Coturnix japonica: one gene and its partners. The protein of the gene in region 2 interacts with the protein of the main gene of each other region in a biochemical or structural test. Links are inferred from orthologs where the notes say so. Each region holds a gene or a part of one and is shown on either strand. Other genes may lie near its edges. The genes, in order: CDKN1A, HDAC1 and MYOD1.

The links.
Region 1: the proteins of HDAC1 (region 2) and CDKN1A form a complex in vitro, tested with the Homo sapiens proteins (2 studies listed by BioGRID). The link is inferred for Coturnix japonica from reciprocal best matches to the Homo sapiens genes HDAC1 and CDKN1A.
Region 3: the proteins of HDAC1 (region 2) and MYOD1 form a complex in vitro, tested with the Homo sapiens proteins (2 studies listed by BioGRID). The link is inferred for Coturnix japonica from reciprocal best matches to the Homo sapiens genes HDAC1 and MYOD1.

Annotation. Positions count from the first base shown.
Region 1 is NC_029541.1:1,948,370-1,952,118, forward strand, and holds CDKN1A (cyclin-dependent kinase inhibitor 1), read left to right. Parts: upstream 1-1,104; 5' UTR 1,105-1,226; intron 1,227-1,608; 5' UTR 1,609-1,613; coding exon 1,614-1,995; intron 1,996-2,318; coding exon 2,319-2,368; 3' UTR 2,369-3,277; downstream 3,278-3,749. UniProt on the Homo sapiens protein: Plays an important role in controlling cell cycle progression and DNA damage-induced G2 arrest. Involved in p53/TP53 mediated inhibition of cellular proliferation in response to DNA damage.
Region 2 is NC_029538.1:4,505,201-4,508,006, reverse strand, and holds part of HDAC1 (histone deacetylase 1), read left to right. Parts: intron 1-669; coding exon 670-808; intron 809-881; coding exon 882-1,023; intron 1,024-1,149; coding exon 1,150-1,242; intron 1,243-1,542; coding exon 1,543-1,651; intron 1,652-1,828; coding exon 1,829-1,969; intron 1,970-2,448; coding exon 2,449-2,557; intron 2,558-2,637; coding exon 2,638-2,768; intron 2,769-2,806. UniProt on the Homo sapiens protein: Histone deacetylase that catalyzes the deacetylation of lysine residues on the N-terminal part of the core histones (H2A, H2B, H3 and H4).
Region 3 is NC_029520.1:16,197,576-16,201,324, forward strand, and holds the start of MYOD1 (myoblast determination protein 1 homolog), read left to right. Parts: upstream 1-1,209; 5' UTR 1,210-1,381; coding exon 1,382-1,942; intron 1,943-3,063; coding exon 3,064-3,142; intron 3,143-3,749. UniProt on the Homo sapiens protein: Acts as a transcriptional activator that promotes transcription of muscle-specific target genes and plays a role in muscle differentiation. Together with MYF5 and MYOG, co-occupies muscle-specific gene promoter core region during myogenesis.

The DNA of each region.
Region 1 (3,749 bases), on a different chromosome or scaffold from region 2:
TCCCATCCCCAACTCCATTCCATCTCCATCCCATCCTATCCCCATGCACACCACAGAGGTTGCCCTTCCACGTGCTGGCTCCCCCTGGGATGCAGCCAAACCGATTGCATTCATCTCACATCGCTTTGCTTCATTCTTGCCTCACTGCAGCATCGCTCCTGCTCTTCCTCCATCAGTCATCATTGCAGATCACACTCCTCCATCAGCTTCAAGAAGCTGCCAGCTCTGACAGCCTCATTCTCACCCCACATCCAGAAGGATCCAACCCCAAAGCGACCACCTTGGCCTGGCCCAGAGCTGCAGGAGGAACTGATGCTGGACAACACTGCTGTGTGACGCACTGCCTGCAGCCGGACATGTCCAAACATATCCTTTATCTGCTGGGAAATGCTGGTTCAGCCTGGGAACGGATGCATTGGGGGGCTTTGCACGGGGGGCTTTGCACACTGCAGGGCTCAGCTGCAGCCCACCAGCTGCAGGCTCACCCAGCTTAGTGCACCGCCTGCCTTTGTGCTGCCATCTCCTTGCACCCCAAGCACTGTTTGCTGCCCAAACCCAATTCCTTCCCCCTATGCCCCCTGCAGCCCACCCAGCTGAGCCCTGGCACTGTGCTGTAACCCTGACGGGGAGCTGCACAGCGCTCAGACCTCCCCTGCTGTGTTTTGGGGGGGGTCATTTTGCAGCGGGGCCACACGTCCCTGCATGCAACCCGCAGCTTTGCTGCATGCAGGACATGCACGGGCTTGTTCCTGCTGCTTGCTGACCTCAGGCCAACCGGAGCTCCCCAGCCCAGCTGCATTGCTGGGGGGTCCGCTGGTAGAGCAGAGCCCACCTCGGGGGCAAAGCACCCAGGGGTGGTCCCATAGGACCCCCACCCCAACCCCCGTCACTCCCCATCATTGCAGCATCCCGTGGTGACCCAGGAGGGGCCCTTTTTACTCTTCAATTGGCAAAGCCGTATTGAAGACCCTCCCGCATCCTTCGCGTTGTATGGGGGGGGGGGGGGTCCCGCATCGCACAGTAGGCGACGACCCGCTTTCCATATGGGGGTCCGTGCAGCCCTATGGGGGGGGGCACTGAACCCCCCCCCCGATAACAGCTGCTCTGCGGTGGGGCGGGGGGGGGAAATCCCGAGCGACGCCGTGAGGCCCCTCCCACCCTCCCTGCCCCGATATAAAGGGCGGAGTGCGGGGCTGGGAACCGCAGAGAGCGACGGGGAGTGTGGGGTGAGTGCGGTGCTGGTGTCGGTACTGGGGGGGGGAAAAGAAGGGAAGGGAGAGAAACCCCAATGGGGGGTGATTGGGGACGGGGTCGGGGGGGCTTTGACAGCTCCGCTCCTCCTGTGGGCCGGACCGGGTCGGACCGGGACATGCTGGGACTTGTCTTGCTCTGAGCTCACCCCGCTGATAGGAAGCGGCTATTTTTAAGTGACCCATCCCGGGGGGGGGCAGAGCGGTCCCTCATCTATTAACGCAGTTCTGTCCGGGTTCAATGACCCCCTGTGCCAGCCTGCCCTATAGCCGAGATCATTAACACCCCAGGGGTCCTGGGGGCTCCCATTATATGCACTGGACTCATATCCCCCCCTCTATATCCCCCTCCCCACAGCCGCAATGCCGCTGGCGCAGAGCAGGACCGGCCCGATGCCGTGCAGCAGCAAAGCGTGCAGGAACCTCTTCGGCCCCGTGGACCACGAACAGATCCGGAACGACTTCGAGGAGCTGCTGAGGCAACAGCTGGAAGAAGCTCAGAGACGTTGGAACTTCAACTTCGAGACGGAGACGCCCCTGGATGGGCACTTCAAGTGGGAGAGGGTCCTGATGGCCGAGCAGCCCCCCCGGGTAGAGCCCGGCAGCAACGGGAGCTCAGCACCACGCAGGGTCCCCAGTAAGGATGGTGTCGGTGGGGCTCGTTGTGGGGCAGCCCAGCAGAGCTCGGAGCAAACCAGGGTCGGTTCTGCACAGCACTTGAAGCGGGGGCAGACCACTGTTAAAGGTGAGTGGTGGAGGGGGGATGCCCCTCATGCCATGGGACCACCCTTAGCACAGAACCATCTTTGGAGGGGAGAGGCAGCAGAACCAGCCTCGGGTGTCCCATAGGTAAAAAATACCCCCATATGGATCACCAACCTCAGTTCCCATGGCCCAAAAGTGGCTCAGCAGTGGGGATGTGATGGGACCAAGTGATGCACAGCCCCATAAATGCGGGGCTTTGAAGCTATGAGCCCACCTGGCTGGGGCTGGGGTTGGGGTTGGGGTTGGGTTGCTGCCCCCTCCTTCTGCTCCTGATACATCCCAACTTCTCTTCTTGCCCTGCAGACTTCTACAGCTCCAAGAGAAGAGTCGTCCATGACAAGCCCAGGCTGTGACTGCTGCTGGGGATGGATGCTGATGCTGCCGTGCCCTGGAGGCTGTCGTGGCTCTTTCCCTGCCCTGCACTGTCTGTACAAAGCGATACCGAGTCTATAGTTCCCTATTTATGAGTAGCTCTGGGGTCCTGAGTGGCCCATGCTGTGTGCAATGTATAGGAGGAGCCCACGGGAAGGACTAAGGACTGGAATGGAGCAGGTGGGGCTGAGGGTGTCTCCTGCCCCGTGCTGGTGTTGCCCAGCAGCATCCTGCTGTCTCATGGAGCAGCCCCATGGCCCTCCCTGCTGTGGATCACTGGGTGTGAGCCCTGCATGGAGCTGCTCCCAGTGTGACTCAGTGATGTGTTGGTCACACAGTGGTGACAAATGTACTTGGAGGTGTGTACCCTTGAGGCCGGCACAGCTCGGGAGGCACTGGGCTGCTCCAGGCTGTGCTGCCCCATTGGGTTCTTGGCGTGGTGTTGGCTGGCTGTGCATCGTGCAATGCTGACATTAAGCTGGATGTTGAGCTGCTGCTTGGCACTGCCAGCAGGGGCTGCCCCTGCAAGAAGTGCCAGCTTTTCTCCTGGACTATTTCCTACTCCAGAGCCTGACCTGGCTCCTGCTGTTGTCTCTGTGACCCAGGGATGCCCTATAGGACACAGCCCTGCTCTGGGTGCTGTCGGATCTCAGCACTTTCACTGGTTTCCCCCTCTCTGTATTGGGATTGGGATTGGCACGGGGTGTTCCCATGTAGAGGAGGAGGGTGCTGCTCCCAGCTCATACCGTGATGCACTTTGCTGTCAGAGATGCTGGCAAGTGCCCAGCATTCAATGTTTATTTATGAAAACACTGTTTTAAGGCTTCTTGGAAGGGGAAAGAACCTGTTTGTCTGCGAGTGTAACTGAATAAACACTTGTCTGGTGGAAAGAGAAGGGGTGGCTGTTAATGGGAATGGCTGTTAATGGGAATGACTGCTGTGGGGTGTGCTATGGGGGGTGGGGGGATGTTATGTGTGGGTTGGGGGTTGCTTTAAGGGTGCAGCCACAGAGGTGCAGTTTGATGCTGGTGGGGAAGGAGCTGTGATGTATCTGTGGGGGGGTTTGGGATGTCCAGCTGTGGGATGGATCCAGCAGGACAGGGATGGGGGCTCCTGCTGTGGGTTGGGGTCTATGGGTGGGTTGGGATCCATTGCTGAGCCCTTTGTGGTGCTGCAAACAGGAAACGTGTGCACGTACCGGCAGTTGAGTGCAACCCCAAAGCGGAAGGCTGCCTTGAGTAAGAGAGAGAATGACGGTGTGGGGCCGGGAGGTGCACAGCAGCGATGCAGGCTGTGTGAGGCTGATGACCCCCCAGCCCTGGGGAGCCCCACAGTGTAACCAGGCAGCACCACCCCAAAACT
Region 2 (2,806 bases):
TTGTACCAAGGAGATGTGGTACTTCAGGACTGTGATACTGTGCATCTACAGTAGGGCTTTGTGTCTGCTACTCCCCCAGTGACATCCAGCAATCTTGGCTTCCTGTCACACAGTTGAGCAGTACCTACCAGTGCTGACCGCAGCGTTCTGATGTTGTTTCTTGAAGTAGCTGTGCTTTGTGATCCCAAGATTGTGCGTCCCCAGAATGTATCACTTCTGTTAATCCTTGGAGACTTGCAAAACTGCAGAAAGTTTACAAAGGAGCCGTGGGAGAGAATGTTCCTTGTCTAAATGCGTATTCAGTGACTGACCTAAATATATATTGGGTAAAACCTTTCCTTAAAGTCCATTGTTTGGCACACTGGGAATTCTGGGCTGTTTTCGTGTGTGAGCTGGGCTAGAAAGCTGTGCACTTATTTGTGCAGATCTCGTGCTCTGAGGTGTAGGTGGGGGAAGCAGCCAAAAGTGTGTGCATGCGAAACAGAGGCTGCGTTTCTCGTCCATTTCCTTTGTTTGTTTGTTGAGACATCCAGTGTTTAAGCCCTTGGGTTTGTGCCCAAAGCACACACAAACAATGATGTGATGACAAGAGACCTGTGCTTCACCCCTGAGCCTCTGCCATTGGTCCTTTGCCCTTGTGCTAACATTTTGTAATTCTTCTCCCAACAGCCAGCGCTGTGAAGCTGAACAAGCAACAGACAGATATTGCTGTGAATTGGGCAGGAGGCCTTCACCACGCTAAGAAGTCAGAGGCTTCTGGCTTCTGTTATGTCAACGATATTGTCCTGGCTATCCTGGAGCTCTTAAAGTAGGTGCAGTTCTTTGCCCTCTTCCCATTTGCTCTGATGAAATGCAGCATTTTGACTCCTTTCTGATCCTAGGTATCACCAGAGGGTCCTGTACATTGACATTGATATTCACCACGGAGATGGTGTGGAGGAAGCCTTCTATACCACAGACCGTGTGATGACTGTGTCCTTCCATAAGTATGGAGAGTACTTCCCAGGAACAGGGGACCTGCGGGTGAGAATGGAACCTTAGCAGAAAATTGCTCTGAAATGTGATCACTCTTCCATTTGCCGTCATACTGATTGTGCAGTTTGTGTGCTATGGTGACCTTGTGCTCTGTCCTGTCTTTCCCTCTAACAGGACATTGGTGCAGGCAAAGGCAAGTACTACGCTGTCAACTATCCCCTCCGGGATGGGATTGATGATGAGTCCTATGAGGCAATATTCAAGCCGGTAAGTGTGCTGAGTGATTCTTTGTGCATCATACTTTGTCACTGGGAGGCTCATGGAGCCATTCTTTAAGGAGACTCAGACTGCTGTTGTAAGATTCCTCAGTGGCTGTGTTCCTCCCTAACAATTGCAGCCTGTTATCATTTAGCTTTTCTTGGTAAGAGCCCCAGTGTTCCCAGTATATGGGAGTCAACAGCTGTGGGAACACCAGGGATGTCTTCACGTCACTTGCTGACATGGACATTACTGTGTTGCTGTGACACTGTCCTGTGGAGAAAGTGTAACAATGAGTTTCTTGTTTAGGTGATATCTAAAGTGATGGAGACATTCCAGCCTAGTGCAGTTGTCCTGCAGTGCGGGTCGGATTCACTGTCTGGGGACAGGCTGGGTTGTTTTAATCTGACCATCAAAGGTAAGAATACAGTGTTTCCATCAAAATAACAAGGCTGGGTCTGTGATGCCAAGAAGCCAGAACTGTGCAGCACAGTGCCTGAGCTAAATTGGCATAAGTAATCTTATTACTTTTCACTGAAAAATGGGTCTTTGTGCCATGGCGTTATTGCCTTTTTCCCTGCTGCCTTTGCTGCAGGTCATGCCAAGTGTGTGGAGTTTGTCAAAAGTTTTAATTTGCCTATGCTGATGCTGGGAGGAGGTGGCTACACAATCCGCAACGTGGCCAGATGCTGGACCTATGAGACTGCTGTGGCTTTGGACACTGAGATCCCAAATGGTAATTTTCCCCTGGAACTTTTGAGGCAAGACAAGAGACAATGGCTACTTACCTAGTGACAGAGCACAGGGAGGGAGTGTTGCTGCAGGGAGGCAGGAACAGCAAGATGTTTCATTAGCTCTTGGTTGTTACTGTGGAAGAGCTTTTTGAGTCTGTGGTTTGCAGTAGTTGCTCTTGTTTGCATTACAGCCTTCTAGTTTTCCCCTCCATCAAGAGATACCCAGCAGTCTTGCAAACGAGATGACCTTCTACTGCTATCTTTTGTTCACACTGATAACATTTAACTGCCAAGTGAGCTTAGACTGCCCTGTTGCTAAGCTGGCTGTTTTGATCTGAGTTTGGGCTATGAAATGGTCAACTCCTACCTCTGGGAAAGTACAGCTGTGCTCTTACTTCGCACTGAAATCTGCTGTATATGAGGGATCTCATTACTGGTCCAGAGGTGATTTGATTTTTGTTCTATTTTAACTCTTATGCAGAACTCCCATATAATGACTATTTTGAGTACTTTGGACCAGACTTTAAGCTGCACATCAGTCCCTCAAACATGACTAACCAAAATACCAACGAGTACCTTGAGAAGATCAAGTAAGTGTTTGCCCTTCTTCACATGGCTGACACCTTTTGCTGGGTAAATACAAACATGTTCCTTTCCTGGCTGGCTCTAGGCAGCGTCTCTTTGAGAATCTGCGCATGCTGCCTCATGCCCCTGGTGTCCAGATGCAGCCAATTCCTGAGGATGCTGTTCAGGAAGACAGTGGAGATGAAGAGGAAGAAGATCCTGAGAAGCGCATTTCAAGTAGGTGCTTGCCTCTGGCATGGCTGCATTGCTCTGCT
Region 3 (3,749 bases), on a different chromosome or scaffold from region 2:
AGGAGTCCGAATGTCACCAGCATTTATAACTGCAGAACAGGAGATTAAAAGTGTCCATTAATCCCTTAATCATAAAGTTAATGAAATCACACAGCAGAAGTGCTGCAGTACTTCAGTACTGGAGAAAGACCTGAACTTTGCAGCTCAAGTGATATTCCAAACCCAGATTCCAGCAGCCTTGAGAGATGTTACCAAAGCCACACAACTCTTCCATATCCCCAACTCTGCCACAGCTTTCTGCCCAAGAAAGCTTATTGCACTCTTATTGCACAAGCAATTGGACTGCAGTGTGGTTACACGTGCGGCACAATGCCACTCGCGACGTAATGTCAATCTCTTCAAAGGCTTTGGAATTAAGGTAAGCTGAGCCTCGAGTTCAAAGGGGAACCTGAATCGCAAACGTACACATCTGAGCCGAGGTGCAAAGAGTCACTTACTGTAACTCAGGTGGGTCACAGCAGAACCACGGCCGCACGACTCAGCCCAGGAGCCGCGCGTTTCCCGCAGTCGCGGTGCCCCGTGCCTCAGGCCAAGCTCCGATAACCGTGCCCGAGCCCCGCCCGACCCCTCGCAGCTCCGGGGCACGACCCGTCGATGGCGGCACCCGTCCCCATCCTCACACCTCGTGGTGCGGGCGCTCCGCTGGGGTTCTGACAGAACAGCTCCCGAGCGGCGTCACGCGCCCGAGCGCCGTCAGAAAGCACGCGGCAGCAGCCCCGGCGCGTCGCTGCGGGGCGAAGGACGCGGCGCTCCGCGAGCCGCCCGTCGGGCCCGGAGCCTCTTCCCGCAGCTCCGACGGGGCGGTTCGCTCCCGTTCCCTCCGCTTTCCCCGAGCTCCGCCGACGGCCGCGGGCCGCTACTCCCCCCTGCAGGCGGCCGCGCCGCGCCGCAGCCCCGACCCCGTCGCTGTCCTCGCCCCGCCGCCCCGGCTCGTCGCGCCGTCCCCCGCTCCCGGCTCCGTCGCGGACGCCCCCGCCGTTACCGTGCGGCCGCGGCCGTCCCTCCGGCGAGCGGGGATCCGGCACCCGAGGGCCGCTCGGCCCTCCCCGCGCCGCCGCGCGCAACTCCCCCTTCCCCCCCGCAGGGGGCCGAGGCTCCGGGGGCTCCGTTAGCCGCGGCCCCCTCCCCGCCCCGCCGCGCCCCGCCCCGGCCCGCCGGGGGCTCCGGCATAAATACGGCCCCGAGCGGCGCTCCCGAGGCGGTGCGGCTGGGGAGGGGTCGGCGGTGGTGGTGGTGCCAGCAGTTACAACCCGCGCCGGTGGCCTCGCCTGGGACAGGGTGCGAGGACCCCACTCCCTGCCTGCCTTGCACAGACACCCTCGGGACCCCCCCGCGCCCCCCGACCACCCTCTCGCCCCGCTCCGCATTCCCGATCGCCCCCATGGACTTACTGGGCCCCATGGAAATGACGGAGGGCTCCCTCTGCTCCTTCGCGGCCGCTGACGACTTCTACGATGACCCGTGCTTCAACACATCGGACATGCACTTCTTCGAGGACCTGGACCCCCGGCTGGTGCACGTGGGTGGGCTGCTGAAGCCTGAGGAGCACCCGCACCACCACGGGCACCACCACGGGCACCCACACGAGGAGGAGCATGTGCGGGCACCCAGTGGGCACCATCAGGCCGGCCGCTGCCTGCTGTGGGCATGCAAGGCCTGCAAGAGGAAAACCACCAATGCTGACCGCCGCAAAGCCGCCACCATGAGGGAACGGCGGCGGCTCAGCAAGGTCAATGAAGCCTTCGAGACCCTCAAGCGCTGTACCTCCACCAACCCCAACCAGCGTCTGCCCAAGGTGGAGATCCTGAGGAACGCCATCCGCTACATCGAGAGCCTGCAGGCCCTGCTGCGCGAGCAGGAGGATGCGTACTACCCAGTGCTGGAGCACTACAGCGGGGAGTCAGATGCCTCCAGCCCTCGCTCCAACTGCTCCGATGGCATGGTGAGTGCCCTGGGCAGGAGATGAGGTCCTTCCTCCTCATAGTTCAGCAGCAGAGGGAAGCAGGGTCCCCACACGCCAGGTCTCTGGGAAGAGAAGGGAAGTCTGTTAGATTCCTGGGAGGAAGGTTAGGCAGTCCCTGTGTGCCTGCAAACACAATGGCCTCCAGGCACCTCTGATTTCATGCTCTGCTGTCTGTCCCTCAAAGGACAGCAGTGAGGCAGGTCCCCTTGGGTGTGGAAATTGCAGGGGAAAACGTGCAGGGCAACTGGTCAAGCATAGTGTTTGCTTTCTATCATTCATCGGGATAACAGGAGGATGGCCCAAGTAACAGGAGTTGTTTTCCTTGACCCTTAAGAAGGCCAGCTCTCCTCTCACTTGACCCCTCTGCAGACATTTACCAGCAAGAAAAAGAGTCCAGGCTTAGAGCCTTGGGTTATGGGGAGGGGACAAGGGTGGCTGCAGGACTGTTGCCGAGAACAGGACCACAAGGACACTTCTGCATTTTTTTTTCTAGTGGGGATAATAATCACTGAGCTGAGTTCTTGGGACTGTGAAATAGTTGGCAGGTGGGAGAGAGTTACAGAAAGATCCGCTCCTCAAAATGCAGCCTTTTCATTGTAGATTCACATACTGAACAGAAATATATTGGTCAGGATTTGGCGGTCTTTCTTTACAAAACCAGAGTAAGAAGGGAAACTGCAGGAAATCCAAAGGTAGAGTAGCGGCTTTCTCAGAGGAACTCAGGTTTGGAAAAGTCTTCCAAAGTTAGATCAAAAGAATTCCTCTCCTGAGCTTCCTTTCCTAAACTGACCATACACGTAGGGCAGTACTGATGAGTTTGCTGGAAAACCTCATCTCTGGTAAAGCCACAGCTTCTGTCATAGCAATGGTGGTAATTTGCCTTTGGAACAAGCATGGATTTACACATTCTGGTGTAAATCCATTCCTTTTTTTTTTTTTTGGCAAGTTAATTCTGTCTGCTTCATTCTACAACACAAACTTGACAGCATTTCAGCTGAGAGCGATTGCACAGATTAGCTACTGAAATACAAGATCAGATGGTTCCTGGACCTGTGGAAAAGGCAGCCCTCCAGCCTCACTCAGATTATTCTCCTTTCCAGATGGAGTACAGCGGGCCGCCTTGCAGCTCTCGCAGGAGAAACAGTTATGACAGCAGCTACTACACAGAATCACCAAATGGTGAGTATCTACTGTTGAGAATATGTCTATGTGAAGCACGGAGGATGGGGTCAGCCATTGCCGTAGCCTCCCCATGGCCTTCTCCATCCCCAGTCACTTAGCCAGGCTGGGGAAGGAGCCTGCCTGTCCAGCCAGTGAGCTGCTGAGGCTGGCAGAAGCACTGGATTTCATGTAAATGTATTTGCAAGTGCAGGGGATATGTTATATCTGCATTTCCCATTTTACAAATAGAGTGTCTAGGAACACATCCTTCTCTGCTGCTGATTTTTAGTCTTAACCCCATTTTGCCTGAAGCCTGTTCTAACCAGGTATCATTGATCCAAACTGGAGAGATGCCTGATGGAATTCCAGTCTTCCATTCCTTTTCTGAGGACTGAAGTAGAGCCCTGGATCCACCCTCCCTGAATAGCAGCCTGTTTCACTTGGGTCTCTCCTCTGTTTCACAGATTGCAATCCATTTCCTGATAACTGGCATCCTTCACTCATACCCATTTCCTCTGATTCTTTGCATGCTCTCAGATGTGCACTTCAGCCACTTAGTGGGCTTTTCATTTCTTTATGAAAGAACTACATCCTATGATATAAGTACACAGTGGGTAAATGGATC